2 linked regions of the Macaca mulatta genome follow. The protein of the gene in region 1 interacts with the protein of each later gene in a biochemical or structural test. Links are inferred from orthologs where the notes say so. Each region holds a gene or a part of one and is shown in the gene's direction. Other genes may lie near its edges.

Region 1 (4,836 bases):
GAGGCAGAGGTTGCAGTCAGCCAAGATCGCGCCACTGCACCCCAGCCTAGGTGACAGAGCGAGACTCTGTTTTTAAAAAAAAAAAAAAAAAAAAGAAAGCGACTTTATTTTGTAGAGTAGTTTTAGATTCACAGCAGGAATCAGCAGAAGTTTCTCCATCTTCCGCTGCCCCACTCACGCACCGCTTCCCCAGCTGCCAACACCCCCCAGTGCAGTGGTGTGTTTGTTCTAATTGGTGAACCTACGTTGACTCCTCACAACCATCTAAAGTCCATAGCACTTTCATATTTTTACTGAGTTACAGTCATCCTGTGGTGTAATATTTTATTTCCTTTTCTTCCCATTTAACAAATCATTTGACTTTTTTTTTTTTTTTTTTTTTTTTTTTGAGACAGAGTCTCGCTCTGTCGCCCAGGCTGGAGTGCAGTGGCGCAATCTCGGCTCACTGCAAACTCTGCCTCCCGGGTTCACGCCATTCTCCTGCCTCAGCCTCCAGAGTAGCTGGGACTACAGGCGCCCGCCACCACTCCCGGCTAATTTTTTTGTGTTTCTAGTAGAGACGGGGTTTTGCAGTGTTAGCCAGGATGGTCTCGATCTCCTGACCTCGTGATCTGCCCGCCTCGGCCTCCCAAAGTGCTGGGATTACAGGTGTGAGCCACCGCGCCCGGCCACAAATCATTTGACTTTTAAAAATATTTGAAGCAGTGAATCTTACTTTGGAAATTGAAAGGATTCCTCTATGAGGTTTTCTAGTTCTCAGAGGGGTGTTGCCCTTCAGTCTGGTTGCCTCAGATGTTGTTTCTACTGAGAGCCACCCTAAGTGCCATGATTGTGACCACCAGAGGCAGCTTTGGCTGCCGCACCTCTCTCAGGCCTGTCCCGCAAACTCTGCTCCTTGGAGGTGAAACTGACCTTATACTGATGTTGCTGGTCGCTTTGGCAGAGTGGAAGAGGAAGCTGCCCAGAAGAACATGGCCCTTAAGAAGATCCGGGAGCTGGAATCTCAGATCTCGGAACTCCAGGAAGACCTGGAGTCAGAACGTGCTTCCAGAAATAAAGCTGAGAAGCAGAAACGGGACCTTGGGGAAGAGCTAGAGGCGCTGAAAACAGAGTTGGAGGACACGCTGGATACCACAGCTGCCCAGCAGGAGCTCAGGTGTGCCCTGGGACCAAGTCCCTGGGGATGGGGAGGGCAGCCACGGGGGTCTTGGCTTGGAGACATGGACCCTGGGCCTCTGTGCACACGCGCATTCTCACACACACACACGCGCGCGCGCGCACGCCCCGTGGCCCTGTTATGCGCCAGCAGGCATGGAAGCTGCTGGTTCCTCAGCGGTTTCTGTCTACAGAGTAGAAAGCCTGTTGAAGAACCTGACTCAAAGTTGGGGGTGAGGCAAGGGTGGGCTTTAAAGCTGAAAGGCTACAGAAGCCTTTCACAGTGCGTCTTTCAGGCTGGCCCATGGGATAGATGGTCAGGAGGGGCTGATGGGTAGAGAAGCTGCCTGGAGTGCCTGTGCCCTGGTCAGGCCTCTCTTTGGTCAGGGAAGAGCTCCAGGGACAGCCTTGCTCCAGTGCTCCCAGCCTCCACTCTGAGGGGATTTCTCTGTCCAGGTCGAAACGTGAGCAGGAGGTGAACATCCTGAAGAAGACCTTGGAGGAGGAGGCCAAGACCCACGAGGCCCAGATCCAGGAGATGAGACAGAAGCACTCGCAGGCCGTGGAGGAGCTGGCGGAGCAGCTGGAGCAGACGAAGCGGGTGCGGAGCCTCCCTGAGACCGCAGCAGGAAGGCAGGGTTCCCCGTGCTGGGCCCACAGAATCCGAATCAGTCCTGCAGAGCAGCTGCAGGATCCAACTCAACTGCCTGGTTCTGAGGCCAGGCTCCCCCTCTAAGGGGCTTTGTGACTTGGGCCTCAGTTTCCCTGTTCACAAGGGAAGATTATGATAGGTCTGTCTCATGTGGTTATGTGAGGGTGAAAACATTACTTCGTTACTTTGAACATCAGGCTTCAGACAGGCTTTACTGGAAGTCTTAACTACAAACAATTACAGTTCCCCTCATTGCATTATAAATATTGCTAACATCTGCAACACCAGTGCCGTGCCCTAGAACCTGGCCTCTACCCAGGGTAGAAGGCTGGGCAGGTATTATTTTAGAGATGGGGAAGCTGAGGTCCCAAGCAGTGAAGACAGGAGCCAAGTGTCACCCACCAGCCAAGAGAGAAGAGGACAGGACAGATGAGGCCTGAGCCTTCTGAGTCCAGGACTCAGGCGCACCGTCGTCAGGGCTGCAGCAGCAGCGATGTCTGGATCTCGAGTCCAGTGATGACAGACCAGCCAGCCTTGTGTCAGGAGGCCGCCACTCACATCTTTGCTTTCTTCCCCGCCAGGTAAAAGCCAACCTCGAGAAGGCAAAGCAGACCCTGGAGAATGAGCGGGGGGAGCTGGCCAATGAGGTGAAGGTGCTGCTGCAGGGCAAAGGGGACTCGGAGCACAAGCGCAAGAAAGTGGAGGCGCAGCTGCAGGAGCTGCAGGTCAAGTTCAACGAGGGAGAGCGCGTGCGCACGGAGCTGGTCGACAAGGTCACCAAGCTGCAGGTGAGGCCTCCGCCGGGATCCTGGCGCGGGCAGTGGGTGCCAGCAGCAGTGGTGGCCCAGACCCCCGGGTGCATGTGTGCTCTGTGTCTCTCTCTCTTCTCAAACCGGCTCCTCAGACCCTCACGCTTCAGCTTGTGACTCAGGTCCAGCTTTACGTAAAGGAGCTGAGGTGGGGCAGGAGCGGTGGGGCTGGGTCCATGGTCCTTTGCGTCTCCCCGCCCCGTGCAGGTGGAGCTGGACAACGTGACCGGGCTTCTCAGCCAGTCCGACAGCAAGTCCAGCAAGCTCACCAAGGACTTCTCCGCGCTGGAGTCCCAGCTGCAGGACACTCAGGTAAGGGTGGTGCCAGGTTCCCAGAAGGTGAACTCCTCCAGGAAGGCCCCTGTGTCCACGACATTAGCTCCAGAACCCATCGGACTGCCCGTCCTCTCCTTCATCTCCTTCATCCCGTGGGTGGGTCTCTGCGTCCTCCTAGCTCCCATCAGGTCTTTACGTGGCCATCCCCTAAATCAGCAGGACCAGCTCCTCTCTCTCCTCAAGGGTGTGGAGTTCCTGGGTTTCAGACACCGCTCTCCTGAGCGCCCACACCCCTCTCAACCTGCGAGTAGGAGCTGCTGCAGGAGGAGAACCGGCAGAAGCTGAGCCTGAGCACCAAGCTCAAGCAGGTGGAGGACGAGAAGAATTCCTTCCGGGAGCAGCTGGAGGAGGAGGAGGAGGCCAAGCACAACCTGGAGAAGCAGATCGCCACCCTCCATGCCCAGGTTTGGAGGCCTGGGGAACCGGCCTGACTCTGCAGGCTGGGGAGCTGCTGGCCGGGCACTGGCCTGGGCACTGCAGGACAGCCCTGCCCACTGGGCCAGCCCATTGCTGCTCTCCCCCAGGGAAGCCCACCCTGCTCTCCCACATCAGGGCTTTCAGCCTGAGTCCCTAGGAGAGGAATCCAGGGGTCTGTGGACTTAGATGGGGGACACCACTATTTTCACTATTTTACACCTTTATTTTCACCAGTCTTTAGCTGAAATTCAGCATTGCTTCCATGATGGATGTAGGCAGCAAGCCACAGTGGTGGCAGTCACTGCACCCTCGTCATCTGTAGAAATGGCCAGTTACCCTGTCAGGGTTGCGGCCGAGCTCCTTGGCCTCGTGGTTCCCGGGCCTGCGCCGAGTTTGCTGTCTGATGTGCTACCTAGCAGCACGTGGCTTCCTGAGCCACGGTGTTTTAGAATGTGTGAACACTGCATTTTTCTGTACTGGTTGCCTTGGTGATCCCATATGTTTATTTAATGCCTGTTAAAACATTGTCATGAGAAGGAGTCCCTAGGCCTCTCTAGACTGCCAAGGGGTCCGTAGCCTAATATATATTCAGAGCTCCTGCTCTAGATCCTATCTTGGGCCTCCATATGCCAGGCCAGAAGGCCTGAGCCACCTCGGGATGGGCTGGGAGTCTGTTCCGCAGTCAGGGTGGGAGCAGCCCGTGAGTGTGCGTGATTGCAGGTTTATCTCCAAGTGCAAGGATGGGGCTGGGTGATGGGGACCCCGCAGACATCCCTACAGGGCACTGGCCCTGCTCTCTGGGAGCGGTCTCCGTAGAGCAAGAGGCTTGGTGTGGATGAGGGCTGGGAGCCCCCACAGTGGGCCTGAGGGTCAACCTCCCCCGGGCTTCACACGGTAGACGGATGCCCCTTTGCAGAAGCTCCATTTGTCTCGCCCCCGTGGAGAGGGAAGTGACTGGGGGAGGCGGTTTCATAACTGGGCGGATCCCTGGTGCCCCTTCCACGGTGTGGCAGGCAGGCTCCCAGCTGCCCCAGGGACGGGTGTGCCACCTGAGCAGGTGCCATCTCGGGCGTCTGCTTACTCCTGGCTCCTGCCCAGGTGGCCGACATGAAGAAGAAGATGGAGGACAGTGTGGGGTGCCTGGAAACCGCTGAGGAGGTGAAGAGGAAGCTCCAGAAGGACCTGGAGGGCCTGAGCCAGCGGCACGAGGAGAAGGTGGCCGCCTACGACAAGCTGGAGAAGACCAAGACGCGACTGCAGCAGGAGCTGGATGACCTGCTGGTGGACCTGGACCATCAACGCCAGAGCGCGTGCAACCTGGAGAAGAAGCAGAAGAAGTTTGACCAGGTGTGTGGCCACTGGCTCCATCCTTTGTATTTCTTCTTCAAGCACTGAGTCCAAGGCGAAGGGCCCGTCAGAGAAAGCCTAGGCTCCCTCAAGGTCTTGCCCGGGAGGGCCGTGCGGGGC
Region 2 (5,500 bases), on another chromosome or scaffold:
GCAGTGAGCTGAGATCACACCACTGCACTCCAGCCTGGGCAACAGAGCGAGACTCTGTCTCAAAAAAATATATATATATACACACACACACACACACGTATATATATATATACACACACACGTATATATATACACACACGTATATACATATATACACGTATATACATGTATATACATATATATGTGTATGTGAACGCGCTTCCTGCGGAGCTCTGCCTCTGGGCCAGGGAGTCTCCTCTCTGCCGCTCCTCTGGCTGAGGTGGTAGGATGGTGGCCTGTGCTGTGTGACCTTATCCCAAGAGGGAACTTCCCAGCTCAGGAGTGAGCAGAATGGACCTGTGCCTGCTCCCCAAGGGGTCACCAGTGGGGCCACTCTGAGCCTCCCCTGCAGGACACCTGGGCAGGGGCAGTGTGTTCTGAGAAAGCCGGCTCTTGTGAGACCTGCTGCTCCCGTGTGCACCAAGGGTTTTCTGTGTGGAGCCACAGCCCCGCGGGCACAGTCCTGGCCCATGTGCTGGTGGGGGCTGTGTTGGGAGAGGTTAGGGAACTTGCTGGAGGCTGACCCTCTGGAAGATCTCTACCGAGAGAGAGGCCTTTGAGTGTGGGCCTACTTTGACTGGGGCAGGATGTGAACACAGGCCCCTACCTCCATGCTCCTTACCTCCGCGCTCTCCAGGACTCTCTCAGCCTCCCATGCACAGGCCCTCTGAGTGCCTCCACTATAGAGATGGGGAGGGGTGCTACCGTGCCTGAGACCAGAGTCCCTGACTCTGCCCCAAGGTCCCAGGAGCCTTCGTGCTGTCTAAGCCCTGTGACTGCTCTGGGTTTGGTAAGTGCCAGGGCTCAAAAAATAACACCCCAACGTGTAAACCTCAGAAGCAAAAGTTTCTCTGTCCTGCTCCCACCCTCCTGTCTCCAACCCCTCCTTCTCCTCTGAGAGGCTTCCCCAAACCCTGCCGTAAAACCCAGAAATATGACTCCAGTTCTCCACTCCCTCCCCTTTCTGTGTAGAAACCAGCCTAAAGAAACCCTCTGGCCTGCTTTATTTGACTGGAGGTCATAAGAGCTCCATTCCAGAGAGGGGCCTACCCCACACCTAGAAGGAAGGAGAGCTGCTCAGAGAGGCCGCAGGGAATCTGACCCGACAGGCCCTGCCGGGTTCTCCTCCTGGTCTACGAGAGTCCGGCCGGGTTTTCCTCTTGGTTTATGAGCGTCCGGCCTTACTTTTGTGTCCAATCATATTTCCATACTTTGCTGAACTGTGTTTATGTTTGTAAACATGGACAGTTTCCCCCAGATCCTTGGGTCTTCATCTTGAAGGCTGCTGTGCCACATAAGCAACCATCAAATACATCTGTTATGCTCTTCTCCTATTCATCTGCCTTTTGCCCGCTGATTTTCAGCGAACTCCCAGAGGACGAAGGGGAGTTTTCCATTTGGCCCCACAGGGGAGGAGCCAGCGTGATTGAGGTGGAAGCTGGGCCTCTGAAGGACACAGGGTGTTCTAAGAAAGGGGTGACGGGGCAGATCCGTGTTCACACACACGCCCAGTGTGAATTCACTCTCAGACGTCTCCTCGTGTCAGCACGCTGGTGCCAGAACACTCTGATGTTGACACAAAGGGCCACGGAGTCACCACTCACTCCTCACACACTCACCCTGTGGCCGCTTACCCAGGGAGGGCCAGGGATGAGGACACCACGGTGGCTCAGTGATGGCCCCGAGACACAGGTGAACATTGTAAAATGCGGACGCCTGGAGGCAGCCCACACCATGGGCCTTGGCTGGGAGAAAGTTTCCAGAAAGGTCATCACAACGATGCATTTCATCAGAACTGAGCACATGAATGGGGAGGGGCAGGACTTCCTGAATGTCCCAACCCCACTGTCCCACCCTCTGTGTCAATATGAGGTTGCCTTATAAAGCACAAGAGGATGCCAGTGCGACATTTTCTCGGCCTTTCCAGCCCCCAGGAGGAAGGTTTGTCTGAATCCAGCACCATGACGGAACTGGAGACAGCCATGGGCATGATCATAGACGTCTTTTCCCGATATTCAGGCAGCGAGGGCAGCACGCAGACCCTGACCAAGGGGGAGCTCAAGGTGCTGATGGAGAAGGAGCTACCCGGCTTCCTGCAGGTGAGCCCAGGCCAGCAGTGCTGGACTCAGCAGGGCCTGGGGAAGAAGGGGAAGGCGTGGCAGGCAGAGGGCCGAGAGCTGCGGTGGGGTGGGGTCGGGTCGGCAGTCAAGGGGCTCAGAGGCAAGAGGGACAGATCCTGAAATGCCCTAGAAGCCCAGCCAAGGAACGGACCCACCTTGGCATCAAGGCAGGGGACGCTGGAGCATCTGAGCAGGGAGAGGGTATGGTCAGCTTGATCCTTGAAACATGGAGTTGACCCCAGTGTATTTGTGACAGCCCTGGTGGGAGAGTGGGGCTCAAACCTGTGCAGTGGGGGCAGGGGCGGAATGCAATCCAGGGCCGCCGTTTGCAAGTTTGCCAAGCCCTCGAACCTTCGGGGCTGTCCTCCAAGGCTGCCGGCCATAAACGCCCCAGCTCCACCTCCCACTTGTCCGCCTTCCCTGCTCCCATCCCCAGGCCCCTTGTTGCCTGGTATTAGTGGGGCCGGCAGGAAGGACAGGAGGAGGCTCCATCCTGGCACCTGTCTGCGCAGAGCTGCGGACCTCCCTTGGGCTCCCTGCCAGGGAGAAGCCACTGGCCTGAGCCTCACAGAAGGCCCCTTGGGGCGGCCAGGACCAGCTTCCTTCCACCTGGGGCAGCCTCCGTCTGGGCTGAACAGAAGACTTCCCCTCTCCGTTTCCCCTTCTCTTTGACCCCTGTCCTCTCCTTCTTTCTCACTCCCCCACTTCCTTCCTTCCTTCCCCTCCCCTTCGGGCCCCACCAGATTCTGCCAACCTACCATCTAAGGGGCTGACCCACATGGCTGCTGATAATCGAAAATGAAAGCCTGACATTTTCAGCCCTAGAATCACTTCAAAGACATGAAACACTTCGGAACATTGCTGCTTTTCTTTTCTTTTCTTTCTTTCTTTCTTTTTTTTTGACAAGCTGTCACTCTGTCGCCCAGGCTGGAGTGCAGTGGCAGGATCACGGCTCACCACAGCCTCTGCCTCCCTGGGCTCAGGTGATCCTCCCACCTCAGCCTCCCAAGTAGCTGGGACTACAGGTGCATGTCACCACAGCCGGCTAATTTTTGTATTTTTTTTTTAGAGACAAGGTCTCACCATGTTGCCCAGGCTGGTCTGAAACTCCTGGGCTTAGGCAATGCATCCACCTCGGCATCTCAAAGTGCTGTGATTACAGGCGTGAGCCCCAACACCTGGCCTCATTCTATTTTCTAAATGTAAATTCTGTAAAGATATCTTTTAAAAATAAAGTTCTGTTTTTGGTAGAAAATGTAAAAACAGATAAATATGGAGGGAAGAAATCCCCCCTGGAATACAGACTCTTCCTCTCCCTTCCAGTCTTTCCCCCATGTGAACGTTGCTGTGAGTGGGATTTATATGCAGTTTAATTTCTTTGTGAGCTTAACATTACAGCATAAAATCTCAAACTCTGATGTTCATTAAACACCCCAGCCCCATCCTGGGAACTTGGGCTTGGGGCTCGGGGTGTTCTGATAATCATCAAAGGATGAGAATTGAACCCATGAGGACTTTGATCCAAGACACCGGGGTGTGGGGAAGCGCAGGTGTCCTGGGAACACACTTTGAGAAGCAATGGCTAAGCTGGGGGTCCTCAAACTTGTGTTACATTAGAATCACCTCAGGGATCCCAGGCGCGGTGGCTCACACCTGTAATCCCAGCACTTTGGGAGGCCGAGACAGGCGGATCACGAGGTCAGGAGATCGAGACCATCCTGGCTAACACGGTGAAATCCCGTCTCTACTAAAAATACAAAAAATTAGCCGGGCATTGAGCTTGCAGTGAGCCGAGATCGCGCCACTGCACTCCAGCCTGGGCGACAGAGCGAGACTCCGTCTCAAAAAAAAAAAAAAAAAAAAAAAAAAGAATCACCTCAGGGAGGCCCCGGGTGTCCTTCTCAGCCCTGCCTCCAGATGCTGCTGAAGCCTAGCAAAGCTGGAGTCGGAGTCAGAGAACAATGTCTGCCTGAGGGCAGGGCTGGGCTGGCCTTGTGGCCTTATCTCCTCCATGCCCAGCCCAGGCCCCACTGTTGGAGCTTTGTAAATACGAGGTGACTGGCTACAAACTTCGTAAACATCACTTGAAATGGCCGCAGGGTATTGTGACGTGGCCAAACCACTATTTGTTTGCTATTGAATTTATACTTCCCTGCCTTACTTTTGCTATTAAAAAACCATGCTGTCACTAAGGTTTTCATGCACACAGTTGTGTCTTGGTCAGACGATCTGTGTCTACCAATTTTAATTGTTTTTTTCCACCTGGACACACGGCTCTCTGGCCCAGGGCTGGGTCATCAGCACCCCCTGCTGCTGCTGTTCAGATCTGCATCCTGGTCCCGCTTGGTCCCATAGTGAGAATGCTTTGCCATCACATGGGCAGGCTCTGAGAGCCCTGCCGGCCTGGCCTTCTCAAAGAAGACCTGAGAGCTTGGGACCCCAAGCCAGGGTACCCAAGCAGAGAGGAATAACAGGGCTCAGGGTGGTCCGTGCTCGCTCCACACCTGGGGCTCAACCCTGGCTTTCCCTGGCTCCCTGTGTGACCTCAGGGCAGGCCCCTTGGGCCCTCTGGGCCTTATCGTCTTCATCTGTAACAGGGCGATGCCTCTGCCATGCCTGGTGGTGTTGAGGAGTTCATGTTTGTGTAAGCAGCTAGTTCAGTGCCAGCACGAGATGGGATGCCCATGACGTTAGCAGTGCACAAAAATATAAGAGCAAGGACTGGACGCATTTCCTGAGAACAGCCATCACTGTAAAGCACATTACAAATCCAAAGACAACCCCCTGCAAAAACTAAAACTGAAACTCCTTCTCGCAGAGCACAACACAGTTCCCATTTGCTCTAATAACATTCAGAATTAGTTCATGTCATGCCAGATAGCTGAAGGCAGCTCACAAGATAAGGCCAGGAACGCCATGTGTCTGCTATGCACAGCTGGCCCTGGCCCTGAGCCTGAATGATAGCACAGGTGATGCAGATGTGGGTGCCCTGCTCCTGCCCAGCAGTGGTGCTTGGTGGAGGCTGAGGCCTGCACAGGGCCTCGCTGCTGACCTTGGTCCTCTCTCTCCTCTAGAGTGGAAAGGACAAGGATGCCGTGGATAAACTGCTCAAGGACCTGGACGCTAATGGAGACGCCCAGGTGGACTTCAGCGAGTTCATCGTGTTCGTGGCTGCAATCACGTCTGCCTGTCACAAGTACTTTGAGAAGGCAGGACTCAAATGATGCCCTGGAGAGGCAGATTCCTGGCAGAGCCATGGCCCCAGGCTTCCCAAAAGTGTTTGTTGGCAATTATTCCCCTAGACTGAGCCTGCTCATCTACCTCAGATGAATAAATGCTCA

What was found.
Region 2: the proteins of MYH9 (region 1) and S100P interact in a biophysical measurement, tested with the Homo sapiens proteins (2 studies listed by IntAct). The link is inferred for Macaca mulatta from reciprocal best matches to the Homo sapiens genes MYH9 and S100P.

The regions. Positions count from the first base shown.
Region 1 is NC_133415.1:15,268,943-15,273,778, forward strand, and holds part of MYH9 (myosin-9), read left to right. Parts: intron 1-943; coding exon 944-1,156; intron 1,157-1,611; coding exon 1,612-1,756; intron 1,757-2,388; coding exon 2,389-2,595; intron 2,596-2,823; coding exon 2,824-2,928; intron 2,929-3,203; coding exon 3,204-3,356; intron 3,357-4,467; coding exon 4,468-4,716; intron 4,717-4,836. UniProt on the Homo sapiens protein: Cellular myosin that appears to play a role in cytokinesis, cell shape, and specialized functions such as secretion and capping. Required for cortical actin clearance prior to oocyte exocytosis. Promotes cell motility in conjunction with S100A4.
Region 2 is NC_133410.1:6,343,417-6,348,916, reverse strand, and holds the start of S100P (protein S100-P), read left to right. Parts: upstream 1-1,898; 5' UTR 1,899-1,934; coding exon 1,935-2,138; intron 2,139-5,233; coding exon 5,234-5,383; 3' UTR 5,384-5,500.